Linked DNA regions of Stegostoma tigrinum. The protein of the gene in region 3 binds, or shares a complex with, the protein of the main gene of each other region. Links are inferred from orthologs where the notes say so. Each region holds a gene or a part of one and is shown on either strand. Other genes may lie near its edges.

Evidence for each region.
Region 1: the proteins of rab8a (region 3) and guanine nucleotide exchange factor for Rab-3A-like are in contact, whole or in part, in a crystal structure (PDB 4LI0), measured with the Homo sapiens proteins. The link is inferred for Stegostoma tigrinum from reciprocal best matches to the Homo sapiens genes RAB8A and RAB3IL1. Residues at the interface, in NP_005361.2 of Homo sapiens: Lys10, Phe33, Ser35, Phe37, Ile43, Asp44, Phe45, Lys46, Ile47, Gln60, Trp62, Thr72, Ile73, Thr75, Ala76, Tyr77, Arg79; in NP_037533.2 of Homo sapiens: Arg104, Glu108, Leu111, Glu112, Thr115, Ala116, Phe119, Glu120, Ala122, His123, Arg127.
Region 2: the proteins of rab8a (region 3) and rilpl2 are in contact, whole or in part, in a crystal structure (PDB 6SQ2), measured with the Homo sapiens proteins. The link is inferred for Stegostoma tigrinum from reciprocal best matches to the Homo sapiens genes RAB8A and RILPL2. Residues at the interface, in NP_005361.2 of Homo sapiens: Ile41, Gly42, Ile43, Asp44, Phe45, Lys46, Ile47, Lys58, Trp62, Phe70, Ile73, Tyr77; in NP_659495.1 of Homo sapiens: Leu135, Leu138, Arg139, Leu142, Gln143, Arg145, Asn146, Lys149, Ser150, Leu153, Glu157.

The regions. Positions count from the first base shown.
Region 1 is NC_081370.1:18,135,242-18,139,971, reverse strand, and holds the start of guanine nucleotide exchange factor for Rab-3A-like, read right to left. Parts: upstream 3,631-4,730; 5' UTR 3,357-3,630; coding exon 3,184-3,356; intron 1-3,183. UniProt on the Homo sapiens protein: Guanine nucleotide exchange factor (GEF) which may activate RAB3A, a GTPase that regulates synaptic vesicle exocytosis. Promotes the exchange of GDP to GTP, converting inactive GDP-bound Rab proteins into their active GTP-bound form.
Region 2 is NC_081395.1:4,467,301-4,471,861, forward strand, and holds rilpl2 (RILP-like protein 2), read right to left. Parts: upstream 3,228-4,561; 5' UTR 3,047-3,227; intron 2,915-3,046; 5' UTR 2,870-2,914; coding exon 2,294-2,869; 3' UTR 1,182-2,293; downstream 1-1,181. UniProt on the Homo sapiens protein: Involved in cell shape and neuronal morphogenesis, positively regulating the establishment and maintenance of dendritic spines. Plays a role in cellular protein transport, including protein transport away from primary cilia.
Region 3 is NC_081383.1:45,604,610-45,609,339, reverse strand, and holds the start of rab8a (ras-related protein Rab-8A), read left to right. Parts: upstream 1-1,544; 5' UTR 1,545-1,920; coding exon 1,921-2,044; intron 2,045-4,730. Other genes in the region: E3 ubiquitin-protein ligase arkadia-A-like, read right to left, coding at 69-472. UniProt on the Homo sapiens protein: The small GTPases Rab are key regulators of intracellular membrane trafficking, from the formation of transport vesicles to their fusion with membranes.

The DNA.
Region 1 (4,730 bases), on a different chromosome or scaffold from region 3:
GTGGTGTCTCACAGCCTATCTTATCACAACCAAAACAAATGACTGCTATATTAACAATGATAAGTCATTGTATGACAATGTGAAGTTGATAAGGATAAAATTCCCAGTGTGTATCCCTCTCGGAGGACTGATTGGGTTGTCCAGGGTTAATCAAATTCTAAATGTGTCCCTTTGTGACTGATGCTGAGATAACATATCAGTCTGTCTGTTTTCATTGGCTGTATCAACAAGGGCAGTTATGTGACTTCTGGAATCACATTGAAGGATTCTGTGTGAATTTTTCAGATTATCCTTCTTTATAAAATATATATTAAAGTTACACAGTCATGATACTTGCCCAAGAGTACACTGATAATAATGGTTGCTGTGCCACTAATATTGCCCCTCATCGGAATTGAGATAACACCGACTAGGGATCAAAATTAAACCCACTTGATCAACATAGCTCAATATCACATCAGTAATTCCCTCCAATTAAATGATCACTGGGAAACTGTAACAGCAGTGAAAGTACAGGAATAAAAAAATTCTAATGACAGTAAAAGTTATCAAATTCACAGCATTTAGAATGTGCCCATTATCAGATTACTTTTCTCCTCAAAGTTAATCTTTGATGATCTTATGTTTGCTTAGACTTTACACTTCATAGTAATACTTAGAGCACAAATGACTCTGAATAAGGTTTCTATTTGCAAGGGAACAGATTAGGATATCTGAAAAGAACTTGCAGTCCATTGTATATGTTTATATTGGTTGCAGGCCAAAGCTCAGTGAATGACAGAGAGTTAACCCATTTGTTTGAATAAGGACAACACAGCATTGGCCAAGGTGAACTTGGGGCTATTTGCCTATTGTGAAGAGCAACTATTAAACCTCAATTTATATAGATATACTTTTTGAATCTTTTCTCCTCATCCAGCAATAAAGTTCAGAATCCAGGCAACAGGTTTCAACCCTCCTTTCATCCTTTGGAAAGCCACAAAACTATATTGCCTACAGTTCAGATTACCACCACATGCAACACTGAGGGCGCATTTCCCTAAATAATCAACTGAGTGAACATTGTACATTACATTCCACTGCTCCAGCCACTCAGAGCACATGGCACATTTTGTCTAATGTATAATTCAGCCAGAAACCTCCTCAAACTACAGTTTATTGCAAGTGTTTTAAGCTTTAGGTTGCTTTAGATATTCTTTTACAGTACGAAGTATGCTACCACATGAAACGGTGAGGCAATTAGTGTAGATACATTTAAAGGAAAGCTAGATAAGTATAAGAGTAGAGAGAAATAAAAAGGGTATAGGACAGCTGAATTGGGTTGGGAAAGAGGCTTGTGTAGAACATAAACACTGGCAAAAGATTTGTGCCGCTGAATGGCCAGTTGCTGAATTGAAAGATTTTACATAGTTCTAGATATAAAATATCTAGTATATCTTACTTTACCTCACAGGAAATAACACTTAATGAGTCTTTGCTCAACGAATCTATTTCTTCTCTAGCTGTGCAAGTTTGTACCTATTTCTATTGAAATATACCAAACCATGTTAATCTTCTCAAAACTCGCCAAACCATGTTAAATTTCTTAGTGGTGCAGTGAGTTGGAAAATGGCATTGTATCTCTGTGAGTTGGAGTCAGGCCCCCAACAATTGTTGTCTCCAAGATTTATATAATAAATAAGCAAGGACATTCTCAGTTCAGCGCTAAGAGGGAATATGATCTACTTAAATATGCTGTGTACAAAATTACCAATTTTACTCATCAAGGCTCATAATAGAATGAGTGTCATCCCTGATGTAAAGGGTTTATAGCTGTATCATCCAGTGCGACAACATCACTCCACACCTTCACCACACACACACTCCCCCACCCCGTCGAGTCAGGTAGACCACAAGAAGAATGAGCATTTATTTTAAAGATTATTCCAAAGATGAAGCAATTAAGATTGTCCTTGGGTAAAAAGTGATTCTCTCTATAGGTAGTGGCATTACTTCCACATGAGGGTTTTCTCGTACAGACAATGATATTGTGAGGACTCCACCTATGTCACAGTTGGGGCATCAAGAAGGAAGTCCCAGGTAGTATTCTGAGTCCCAGACTTGGTTAAAGTTTACAGTAAGAAGCATTAGAATCAGACATTTCCTCCATAACTGCTTTATCTGCATTAGGAAGGATATCTAGCCTTAATAATTCTCTAGTTACATACTCTGTTGCCAACATATAGCACTGATAATCTTTAGATAGAGTACTCTGGTACTGTTAAATGTTATTTTCTTCTGTCTCACTATTTCTAATGTGGGAACACCTTGCTGTTGCTTGACTGTGCTGTGTGGCTGCCATCTTCTGTGGAGCCAGGTTCCTCTTGTAAATGTTCTAGACTATCCTGGTGTGAAACTGAACACTGATTTTCTGCAGAAATCCCATTGCCTCCTTTTCTTGATGCATATGGAATACCTCCCATTTAGTTGACAATATATATGATATAGAATGTCTTTGCTTGTCTGTGTTGAGGCATTCTGTGGTGCTATGCTACACATTAGTGTAAATAAGTTGCTCACTTACAGCATTATCTGTCACCTGCTGACTCTGTCATTTCTAGTCGCAGTGAATATCCTAGAGTTTGTATAGGATCAGTGGCATATGCAATTTTCCACACTGCAGATCAAAAGCAGTTGTCGAATCTTCACATGTAAAATGATAATATAATTTATTTAGTCTTTCCTTCAACACTGCCTTCTGTTTCAATGACTTGTCCTGCATTATTTCCCACAGTGAAACTACAAATTCCTGTGTGGCTCAGGTGTTTTATTTATTTATGTATTCCTCTTCCTCAAGCATTTGAAAAACAAACTTCTCCACATCTCTAATTGATTAAAAAATCTTCCTGCAGTGCTCAGGCTTCCTTCAACATTATCTCAATCTTCTCAACAGAGACGTCGTGGCCAGATTAAAAGTGGGCTTTGAACTGATTATTGTTCCATTTGTATTTCAGAAGCCACTCTGTGTAATTTTGTTGCCACACAGTTTGGTGACTTAGGACTGTGGAATGTCCCCGCATTACTTTGACTGACAGTATTGATCAGACTCTGGTCTGAAAACACGACAGTGCATAAGAAGCAATTATACTTTATACCCCCTCCCCAAATCTCCCCGCTCTGTGTTTATTTCACAATATTTCCTACCTGTCAATGGTTGACTGCTCTTCACTGTTTAGCATTGTGCAAGATTCCAGAAACTTTGTACCATCCGGACAGGGCTGTGTACACCTGCTGAGAGGTCCTGCAGGAATGTGAGGGGCAGAGGTGGTGCAATCCCCTTGAACTGTTTCTCCTGTCATCGCCAAGTCCAGATTCATTCTCTGGAAATTGAAATCAGCTGCATTTACCTCATAACCCTGTTTATGAGACCTCCCAGAGTGTGAACTCCTCTTGATCCCGGCTCCATCTTGCAGTCCCTAACTCTGTTTCCTTGTTTTGGCTTCCCGCATAATAAGGCAATGGAAAATTTGCACAGCAAAAACAAACTTGGAAACGTTTTTGGAAGTGAGTTGGTTGGTCGTAACTAATAACAGACACAAGCACCTCATACTCTCAGTCCTCAGCTGCAGCTTTTTACTGACGTAAGGACACACCGAGAGACGCTTTGACCCTTGGCCAGTCAGACACAGGCTGTAATAAGAACCAGCTTCATTTGTTATTGCCCCGTAATAATTAACTCCAGGCGACAAAAGCTAAGCAATGAAATACTCTCAGGAAAGACTGAAAGAAAAGAGATAAATAAGCTTCAAGTCTACAGCCAATCTTAAATCCAGAGATTTATTAATGCAGGGATGCCATGGCCTAGTAGTATTACCATTAGACTATTAATCCAAAAACTCAGCTAATATTTGAATCCCGTCATGGCAGATGGTGGAGTTTAAATTCAATAAAAATATCAGAAATTAAGAATCTACAGATGGCCATTAGATGATTGTTGATTGGTGGGAAAATCCATCTGGCTCACAAAGTCCTTCAGGGAAGGAAACCGCCATCCTCACCCAGCCAGGCCTACATGTAACTCCAGATCCATAACAAAGCGGTTAACTCTCAACTGCCTTGTGGGCATTTAGGGATGGGCAATGTTGCCCTTTTACCCCAGCAAAATATCGGCAATCACAAAGTTTGAGAGACTAGTTCTAGCAAGCTGAATAAGTAAGTCAGTTATAGTTGAGGAGGGAGAGATGAAGACAGAAAAGCAGAAAGTGTTTCCACTCCTGGTCCCAGCTCCCAGAATTGTAAGCCCCTGGTGGTCTGCAGGTTCATGCAAGTCACTGTTAATGCAGTATCAGAGACTGAATTACATCACTGGAATTTAAACTTTTGATAATTAAGATCCCTAGCTACCTTAAGAAGATGATCTCAATGCTCTCAAAAGCCGAGGAGTGAAAATGCTGAGGGATTTCAGTGCATAAGACCATAATTTAAACTTCTCCCCCAGAAGTTGATCCATTCCTCAATGAGTTAAAATTTTCGCCGGGCCAGACAAAGTTTATGATGAGTTAATTGATCTTTGTTCGAACTGCTAAACTCACAGAACAGGATTGCAAGAACATTGCCACCTCACTGAATCTCTGTCTCAAATATCAAAACATCGTTTGACAATGATGATGTTCATGGTTCATCACACCATAACTAAGGGCTAAACTGAGCAGCTTTGGAAAAAAAGCAGAGTAAAACAGCATATCTGGTTT
Region 2 (4,561 bases), on a different chromosome or scaffold from region 3:
GGCTCATCTAAATAGTGTCCGAATGCAGCTTTGTGGATGTTGGGGTGGTTGCTTTGGAAATTGAGGAATTGATCAGTGTGGGTTGCTTTTCTGTGTACTGAGGTTTGGAACTTCCAGTTTGTCAATTGCTGTACTTTAACATCCAGAAACAGATCAATGGTATACCAATGGGGTCACCCATCTCAGGACTCATTGCAGAAGCAGTCATGCAAAGACTGGAACACACCACCCTCCCTCGCATTTAACCTAAACTGTGGACTCGGAATGTAGATGACACATTTGTTATTATTAAACGCAACAAGTTAGAGACCCACCACCTCATCAACAGCTTACTCAAAGATTAAATTCACTAGGGAAGAAGAAACCAACAATCAACTTCCGTTTCTGGATGTTAACGTAGAGTGATTGACAAACAAGGAGTTCCAAACTAGGGTATACAGAAAGGCAACCCATATGGATCAATTTTTCAACTTCCACCACAAACAAAACTGCATTAGGACACTATTTAAATGAGCCAGGACACACTGCAACACTCTAGAACCATAAAGGAAAGAGGAAGAACATTTATACAAGATCATCGCTTTAAATGGATATCCCCACAACTTCATCTATAGATGCCTACAAAACAGACAGCAACAGGAGGACACAGTATACCCAACACACTGGCCACATTGCCCTACATCAAGAACATATCGGAATTGACAAGACTCCTAAGACAACCAGGAATCACAGTGGCCCACAAGCCCACAGCCACTCTACGACAAACATTTACAAGGATTAAAGACCCCATTTCCACAACATGCAGAACAATGTGGTTTACAAAATATCATGCAACAATTGCCATAAAAACATTACATCCGACAGATTCAAAGGAAACTAGCCATCAGAATACCTCAATAGCAGTTAACAACAAAACGGCAATAACCACCTCTCCTTAATATCGGTCCATTCAGACAGTGGAGGCCATCAATTTAACTAGGACAAGGTAATCATAGTAGCCCAAGCCAAACATAGATGCACACAGGAATTCTTAGAGGCATGGTTCTCCACCCATACTTAAGTCAACAAACATATAGAATTGGACCCCATATACAAACCCATACAGATCAAAACCAGAAATTACAGGACTCACCGTGACAGACTGGATGTATAAATTCCAAGCGGAGTGGAATAACATTGCTTCATTGGAGGCTCCACTGATGATGTCACCTAGCATGGTAACGAAACGTCTGAACAAAAACAAGCCAGCTTGGTGAGCAAGCAACAACCCCATCCACAACCCGAGCTACAGATCTTTGCCAAAACTTTAAAGGATGACAGATTTCCTTCCCCAGGTGAACCAGAGTTTATGAGCATATGGAAGTTCTACGGTCATCCTCAGGGGTGCTAGATTCCAGATTTTTTTACATTTCCTTGCTGTCATTGAACTCCAGTCTACAAATCATTAGCCCAGGCCTCTGGATTTCTAGTTGAGTTAAATAAGCACATCGAAGCTATGCCCCAAAATTAAGAAAAAATGACTACTTAGAAATTAAGGGATAACAAGGTGTAGAGCTGGATGAGAGATCAGAGATAATGGGAACTGCAGATGCTGGAGAATCAGAATACGTACTAACTTCATCCCGCCCCCTTGACATGTCCATCCTCCCCGGACTGACCTGTCCCCTCCCTACCTCCCCACTTATATTCTCCTCTCCACCTATCTTCTCTATCCATCTTTGGTCTGCCTCCCCCCCCCATTTATTTCAGAACCCTCTCCCCATCCCCCTTTTCTGATGAAGGGTCTAGGCCCGGAACGTCAGCTTTTGTGCCCCTAAGATGCTGCTTAGCCTGCTGTGTTCATCCAGCTCCACAATTTGTTATCTCGCAGAGCTGGATGAACACAGCAGGCCAAGCAGCATCAGAGGAGCAGGGAGGCTGATGTTTTGGGCCGAGACCTTTCTCCAGAAACCTAGGCCCAAAACGTCAGCCTCTGATGCTGTGTTCATCCAGCTCTATACCTTGTTATCTCAGATTCTCCAGCATCTGCAGTTCCAACTATCTCTGAAACATACTTAGAAATTAAGTCTACTTTTAAGTTCTTTTTGCAGTCTTGCTCTACATAGCAAAACAAATACAGCTTTTCTTAAAAAAAACTTTTTACAAGTAACAAACCTATTTTTTGGATTCTTAGAAAATTAAACTTTGAAAATTCCTGCATCAGTACATTCCGTTTAAGAAAATAATGAGTATTATGACTACGAAAGTATGAGTGCTCAGAAACCTTTTTAAAAGATCCTTGTGTCCCGCATGCTTAATGATTTTTTCGATATTTGAGAGAAAACAGTTTCTTAACCGTAGTTTGTTCACTTTCACGATTTGCACCAGATGCCTTCTTTTCTAGCCTTTGTGGCTCCTTTGTGGTCATTAATCCGCTTTTATAACATTCCAGTTCTTCTTGAGCAACAAGTAACTGAGCTTTAAGTTTGTTGCGTTCTTGCAACACATCCGTCAATTCCTGGAGCGTGAAACGAGGCCGATTTGGGTCATTAACATCGACCACCAGTTTGTCTGTTCCATTCTTCTCTTTCTCTGAATCGCTTGTTGCCACTTGGAGTTCCCTGTGAAGCCTTTCCGTTTCCTTCCTCAGGTTGTCCCGTTCAATTTTCAGTTTCTCGACTGATAGGTTCTGCCTGTCCACCAACAACTCGAATATTTCTAGAACTCTGATTACTTTATATTGCAGCTCGGAGACTGTACGGCTATCTTCTGAGCTACTGAGTTTGAATAAATCACGGCCAATGACATAAGACATATCGTAGACATCTTCAGCTGTGAGCTTGAACGGATCTTTCTCAAATGCTGATGTTGCGTTCAATTCCTCCTCCATCGATTTTCCCTTGCTGTGCCTCCTCACTCCACTGTTGGACTTAAACTGAAATTAAAACCACACGATCATTTAAAATGAAGAACTGCTGTCTTACAAATGACTAAAGCTTCAGAAAAGCTTCACTCTGCATATTCAAACAACAGGCATGTAATAATGGGCAGATTTCTGTTTTATTACCTGCTCCAAACAGCGGAATAACTGTATTTCACACTTCCTCTTTGTGTACCCGGGTTTCACATGACGGGAAGCTTGACTGTTGTTTGATCGGCAGATTTCTAAACCAATCCAGGCGTCTGTTTTGCAATGCCCCTCTAGTTGCTTAGCGATACCTGGAGAGAAGTCGAAATTTGTGTCTGCGTTTTTTTGTTCCCCTTTCAAAGTAAGTTTTCTTTTTCTGTAATAGATTGTCCAAAGTACTGTTATTCACATTTGTCCCCCGTTTTCTTTCACAGTTTTTTGCACAATATTCCGCCATTCTAAATAAAAACTGAAAGAACTGCGGATGCTGTAAATCGGGAACAAAAACAAAGTTGTTGGAAAAGCTCAGCTGGTCTGGCAGCGTCTATGAAGGAAAAAATGATTTAACGTTTCGGGTCCGGACCCGAAACGTTAACTCTTTTCCTTCACAGATGCTGCCAGACCTGCTGAGCTTTTCCAGCAACTTTGTTTTTATTCCGTCGTTTCCAGTAGTACTGATACATTTACGGCACAGAAGCAGGCCATTCGGCCATGGAATCTATGCCAGCAAGTTATGCTGGGGTGTAGTTTCAAGTGTCAACCATGTGCCAGTATTACAACCAAGTGGCCCTGATAGCGTGTTCCGAATAGATCTTTCATAACCGTGGCCATCATCAAACGTAATTTTAAACTTCCTGGGAGAGGCTTCTGGTAGAAATTGGAAGTGAGCACCCTGGCTGATTCAACCCGCTTCCGGTATCTTGAGGACAGTTGTCATTCCCCAACTGATATCCCAGCATGGAACATGCCTGCTCTATACAATTTAGTGTAATGTCAGGGCCTGCATTTACCCATGCATTTACTGAGGGCTAGCGATTGGCTTTTCAACTTGATTTTCAAATATTCAAAGCTGTTTTTGGCTTTGAAATAAAAGATACATTTCAAACCACTCCATTCCTCTCAAACAAAACAAAGATTTGTGCATGCTGTAAATATGAAACAAAAACAGAAAATTAGGACAAAATCTGCGGCTACTAAAGGATGTCAGATACGAGGAGTTCCTTTCTGTCAAATGCCTGTGCACTGTTTACAAGGTATATGCCAATGGCGTAATAGAATACTAGATAATAAAGTGTGAAGCTGGATGAACACAGCAGGCCAAGCAGCATCTCGGTGATAGAATACTGTCCATTTGCCCAGATAGATGTGCCTCCAACAGTGCTCAAGAAGCTTAGTTCAGGAATACGAATTCCCTGATTGAGGCTGTAAATCTGGTCCAATCAGGGAGCTGACTGACATAGAAAGGGTGAATTGGGTGCAGCAGATCAGAAAATTGCCTCATGAATCTGCTCGTGGGCCTGACCATTAATAGGTCCAGGCAGCGGACTGTTGCGGGGGAGGTTATTATGGCTGACTGCTTGCCCCTCCACCAAGGCTATGTCTGTGCCCGGGTGTCCCTGGAGAAGGAGCATGTCGTGAGTACTGGTGCTGTTGATGCCTTTTGGGGAGGTGGAC
Region 3 (4,730 bases):
TCCCTGTACCCGCCCCTGGGGGACACAGATCACTGCCCTGTCCTGTTTTATAAGCAGCAAGTTCGTACCTGTAGCTTCCTGCCCACAGTGTCATCCTACCCTCATTCTTCTCTGATGACAGTTCATCAGATTCAGCTAGGTTAGTACTGGAAGATGGAGATGAATCACCAGCACTTGAAGAGTCCTCACTGGTGTAAGTATAACTCCGCACCAGATGCCGATCACTTTGCAAAGCAAGCTTGAGCTCTGCTGAAAAGCAGGAATGCTCAGAGTTCAGATACTCTGGCCACTGTGCAGCATCAGGTCCTTTCACTTCCGGAGTTGAATGCACACTGTTTTCATGGATAATGCTACTGAATGCTGAAGGGCGCGAACTGTCCAAAATAGTCACTGGGGCCTTTCCCGTAGATTCTTCATCTACGTTGGCAGCAAATGGGATCTCTGGTAGATCTGCTTCTGGTTCCATCGCCATTACAGCACAGTAGAAAGTAGGCCCTGTAATTCAAAAAAAAGTCAAAATCTAAGAAATAGCAATGATCTCTGAGATACAAACTTCTTTGTTAAGCATACTGTTTGGTTTTACAAAGACATGACAGCTGTCTTCTGCAAACATTTCACTCCAGGAAGAGTCACACAGACTCGTCATAACACATTTAACATATTTGCATGTATAAGTTACAGAAAAATAAACTCCAACCTTCTTTAACGTTTTGTACAAAGTAACATAGCACTTACAACCTGGCTCATATCACAGAACAAATTGTCAAAAGGAATTTCACAGGTGCGAGAAAAAAAACGGATATTGAGCCAAAGAAAAAGCTAATCAGAAAGATAACCAATGGGCCAATTAAAAAAAAGGTTATCCTAAGGGTCTTAAAGGGCGATTGGAGAGATCTAAGGAAGGAAACCCAAAGTTACTAAGTCTTACCAGACTAATGGTACAGCCTTCAACGAGGGTGAAAAGTGGACCCCACATTATGAATTCCTCATCTTCACTGATAGTTATTACCTGGGCTTAGATTGTTGAGGTCCCAAGGCTGGGACATCAGAATTCCAACATATAGGATACTTTAAACATTTCATGTGCACAAGATGAGATTGCTTCACATAACCTTTTGTTGAAGTTCCAGTGACACCAGATTACAATTTAAAATAAACAATCTCAGCAAGAACTACGCTAATGACTGTCAGGAGGGAGAATTCCTCATCGGTCTCTGTCTCTGAGAGGACGATTCCTCACTCTGGGGGCCGGGAGAAGGGAGTATTCCTCATTAGGTCCTAAACCCGGGCAGGAGGCGTGCGTGTCTGGGCCCTCAACTGGTGGCGTTGTGTATGTGTGTGACTGGGGGAAGGGGCTGTTCCTCACTGACCTTTGCGGCCTGGCGCTGATGCAGCGGGCGAGAGGAGCCCCAGGTACAAGCTCAGTTCTCGGCCTCTTCCCACAGCCCCAGGCCCCGCTCCGGTTCACACAAACAGGCCACACTCTCATTCACCGTGACCTCACTTCCGCAATCTCGGGGGGAGGGGGGCGGGAATACAAGGAGCTGTCGATAAAGACAAGAGGTGCCGCTCTGTGACTCTAGGAAGTCGAGCCGGTCCCCTAGGCTCCTAAATATTTCCATTCATCCCAAGTCACAGGAAGTGATAAGAGCTGAGCGAGATCGAAGGCTGTACTCAGCAGCCTGTCATTACCAGCTTAGAAGCCGCGGTTCAGCCGCCGACGCTGACTGTTCCCAGCGGAAACGGTTGTCACGGCGAGAAGGGAGCCCATTTGTGATTGACAACGGGACTAGCCAATAATTATCCAACTTGTGGGCGGGGTCTGCCTCATTGCCCAATCAGCTGTGCAGTCTTTCCGATATGGGCCAATGAGTGGCTGGAAGGCGGGACATCCGGCGGAGCGGGGCGCGGGAGGCGGCCATGGCGAAGACCTACGATTATCTCTTCAAATTGCTGCTGATCGGCGACAGCGGCGTCGGCAAAACGTGTGTTCTCTTCCGCTTCTCAGAGGACGCCTTCAATACTACCTTCATCTCCACGATCGGTACGGATTGGAGAAATTGAGGCCTGGGAAGGGTTTACTGTATCGGGGCCTAGCGGTTGGTTCCGGGATAGAGAAGCCGCCTGCCTGGGTCTCCATCCCCCTTTGCCTTGTCTCTCCACCACCTCCTCTACTCTGGGAGTATGAGGACCGGCGTGTCAGATTCCAGCCACTGGAATACCGGATATTTCTGCCAGGACCTGTCAACGCGTTGGGGGATAATTGCCCGCTTCCCGCCCCTCTTACACCTCAGTTCTGTCAGCGGTTAGGTTATGTATGACCTGGTTCTGTTTTGTCTGGCGGGCGAGATTCGTTTCCCTCATTCTTGTGCGCTCTTTTATTTTGTTTTCATTACTTTTTTCAAAGTTTAAAAACACCATTTTATGTTTCAAACCAAATTTGTAGGACCTACACACTATATTTAAGTCCCTTGAATGTGTATCATGACAAGGTTTCCCGCTGTAGGATGGTTTAGGTTGGTGGCATAGTATGCTGTACAGCCTAAACGTGTAGGAAGTGATAGACACGGCTGGCAGTTTAGTTGACCACATATGAGGGATTGATAGATGGCAAGGTGTGGAGCTGGATGAACACAGCAGGCCAAGAAGCATCTTAGGAGCAGGAAAGCTGTTATTTCGGGCCTAGACCCTTCATCAGAAATGGGGGAGGGTAAGAGGGTTCTGAAATAAGTAGAGAGAGAGAGGAGGTGGATCGAAGATGGATAGAGGAGAAGATAAGAATATAAGACATAGGAGCAGGTGGAGAGGAGACAGACAAGTTAAAGAGGTGGGGTTGGAGCCTGTAAAGGTGAGTGTAGGTGGGGAGATGGGTCAGCCCAGGGAGGACAGACAGATCAAGGGGGCGGGATGAGGTTAGTAGGTAGGAAATAGGGGCGTGGAGAAGAGGATAGGTGAGAGGAAGAACAAGTTAGGAAGGCAGGGACGAGCTGGACTAGTTTTGGGATGTGGTGGGGGGAGGGGAGATTTTGAAGCTTGTGAAATCCACATTGATACCTTTGGGCTGCAGGGTACCCAAGCAGAATATGCGTTGCAGTTCCTGCAACCTTTGGGTGGCATCGTTGTGGCACTGCGGGAGGCCCAGGATGGACATGTCATCTGAGGAATGGGAGGGGGAGTTAAAATGGTTCGCGATCGGGAGGTGCAGCTCTTTATCGCGAACCGAACGTAGCTGTTCAGCAAAGCAGTCTCCAAGCCTCCACTTTGTTTCCCCGATGTAGAGGAGGCCGCAACTGGAACAGCGATGCGGTATACCACATTAGCAGACGTGCGAGTGAACCTCTGCATCCCGCCCCCTTGACTTGTCCGACCTCCCTGGACTCCTCCCTACACTCACTTTACAGGCTCCATTCCCTCCTCTTTAACTTGTCTGTCTCCTCTCCACCTATCTTCTCCTCTATCCATCTTCGATCTGCCTCCCCGTCTCTCGCTGTTTATTTCAGAACCCTCTTCCCCTCCCCCATTTCTGATGAAGAGTCTAGGCCCGAAATGTCAGCTTTCCTGCTCCTAAGATGATGCTTGGCCTGCTGTCTTCATTCAGCTCCACACCTTGTTATTTCGGATTCTCCAGCATCTGCAGTTTCTATTATCTATGGGGGATTGCTGCTCGTTTTACAAGCTTTAATGTTGCTTTTGGAGCATAGGGTAGGGATACTATAGTGCAAAGGGAGGCTGAGAGTTAAGTGAAACCTTGTCTAGACATGCATTTCATTGTTAGAAGAAGGGAAGCAGCAGTTAGTCAGTAAATCCCCACAGTGTAACTCTAGAATAGATATTCTGTATTGGGAAATGGTGAGAGTGACAGTTCCTTGGGGGAATGCGTTTGGAGCCAAGCAGCCCAGAAGAGGAGCAGACAAAGTAAGAGCAATAGCAATAGGAGACTCAGTAATGAGGGATGCAGTCTGACACTTCTGTGCTGTAGATGTGATTTGAAGATGTATGGCGCTTCCCTGGATCCAGGTTCATGGATGCCACCTCTGCAAGCGGTTCTGAAGTGGGAGAATGCACAGCCACAAGTTGTGGTTTACCTTGATGCCAGTGACATTGGCAGAATGAAGGATAAGGTTCTGCATCAAGAATTTAGGGAGGTAGGTAGCAGATTGAAAAACAGGACCTCAAAGGTTGTAATCTCTGGATTACACCGATGGCCATGTACTAGTGAAAAGAAGAATAGCTGGTAGAGGGGATGAATGTGTGGCTGAAGAGTTGGAGCAGAAGAGAACACTTGAGATTCTTGAATCACTGGGTCTGTTTCTGGGGAAGGCTGCAAATGAACCACAATGGGACTAAGATCATTGCAAAGAGGTTTGCTAGAGCTGTTTGTGAAGGTTTAGACTCAGTTGACAGGGGAATATGATTTGGGGTGGTGTTGTACAGAAAAAATGTAGCAAAGTCATGCCAGGCAGGGCACGAGAGAACTCGGCAGGGCACGAGGGAACTCAGCAAGGCTAATGGCATTTCCTTTCATGCAAGGAGTCTTATGAGTAAGGCAGATGAGTTGAGAATGCTCAATTGTTTGGCTGAATTGGCTGGATGAGTGGTTTGTAATGCAAAGTAAGGTCAGCTGCATAGATTTGATTTTTGCACTAGGTGAGGTCATAAAGGTCCTGCCTTCTCAACCTCCACTCTCACCTAAAGTGTGATGACCCTCGGGTTAAATTCACCACCAGTTG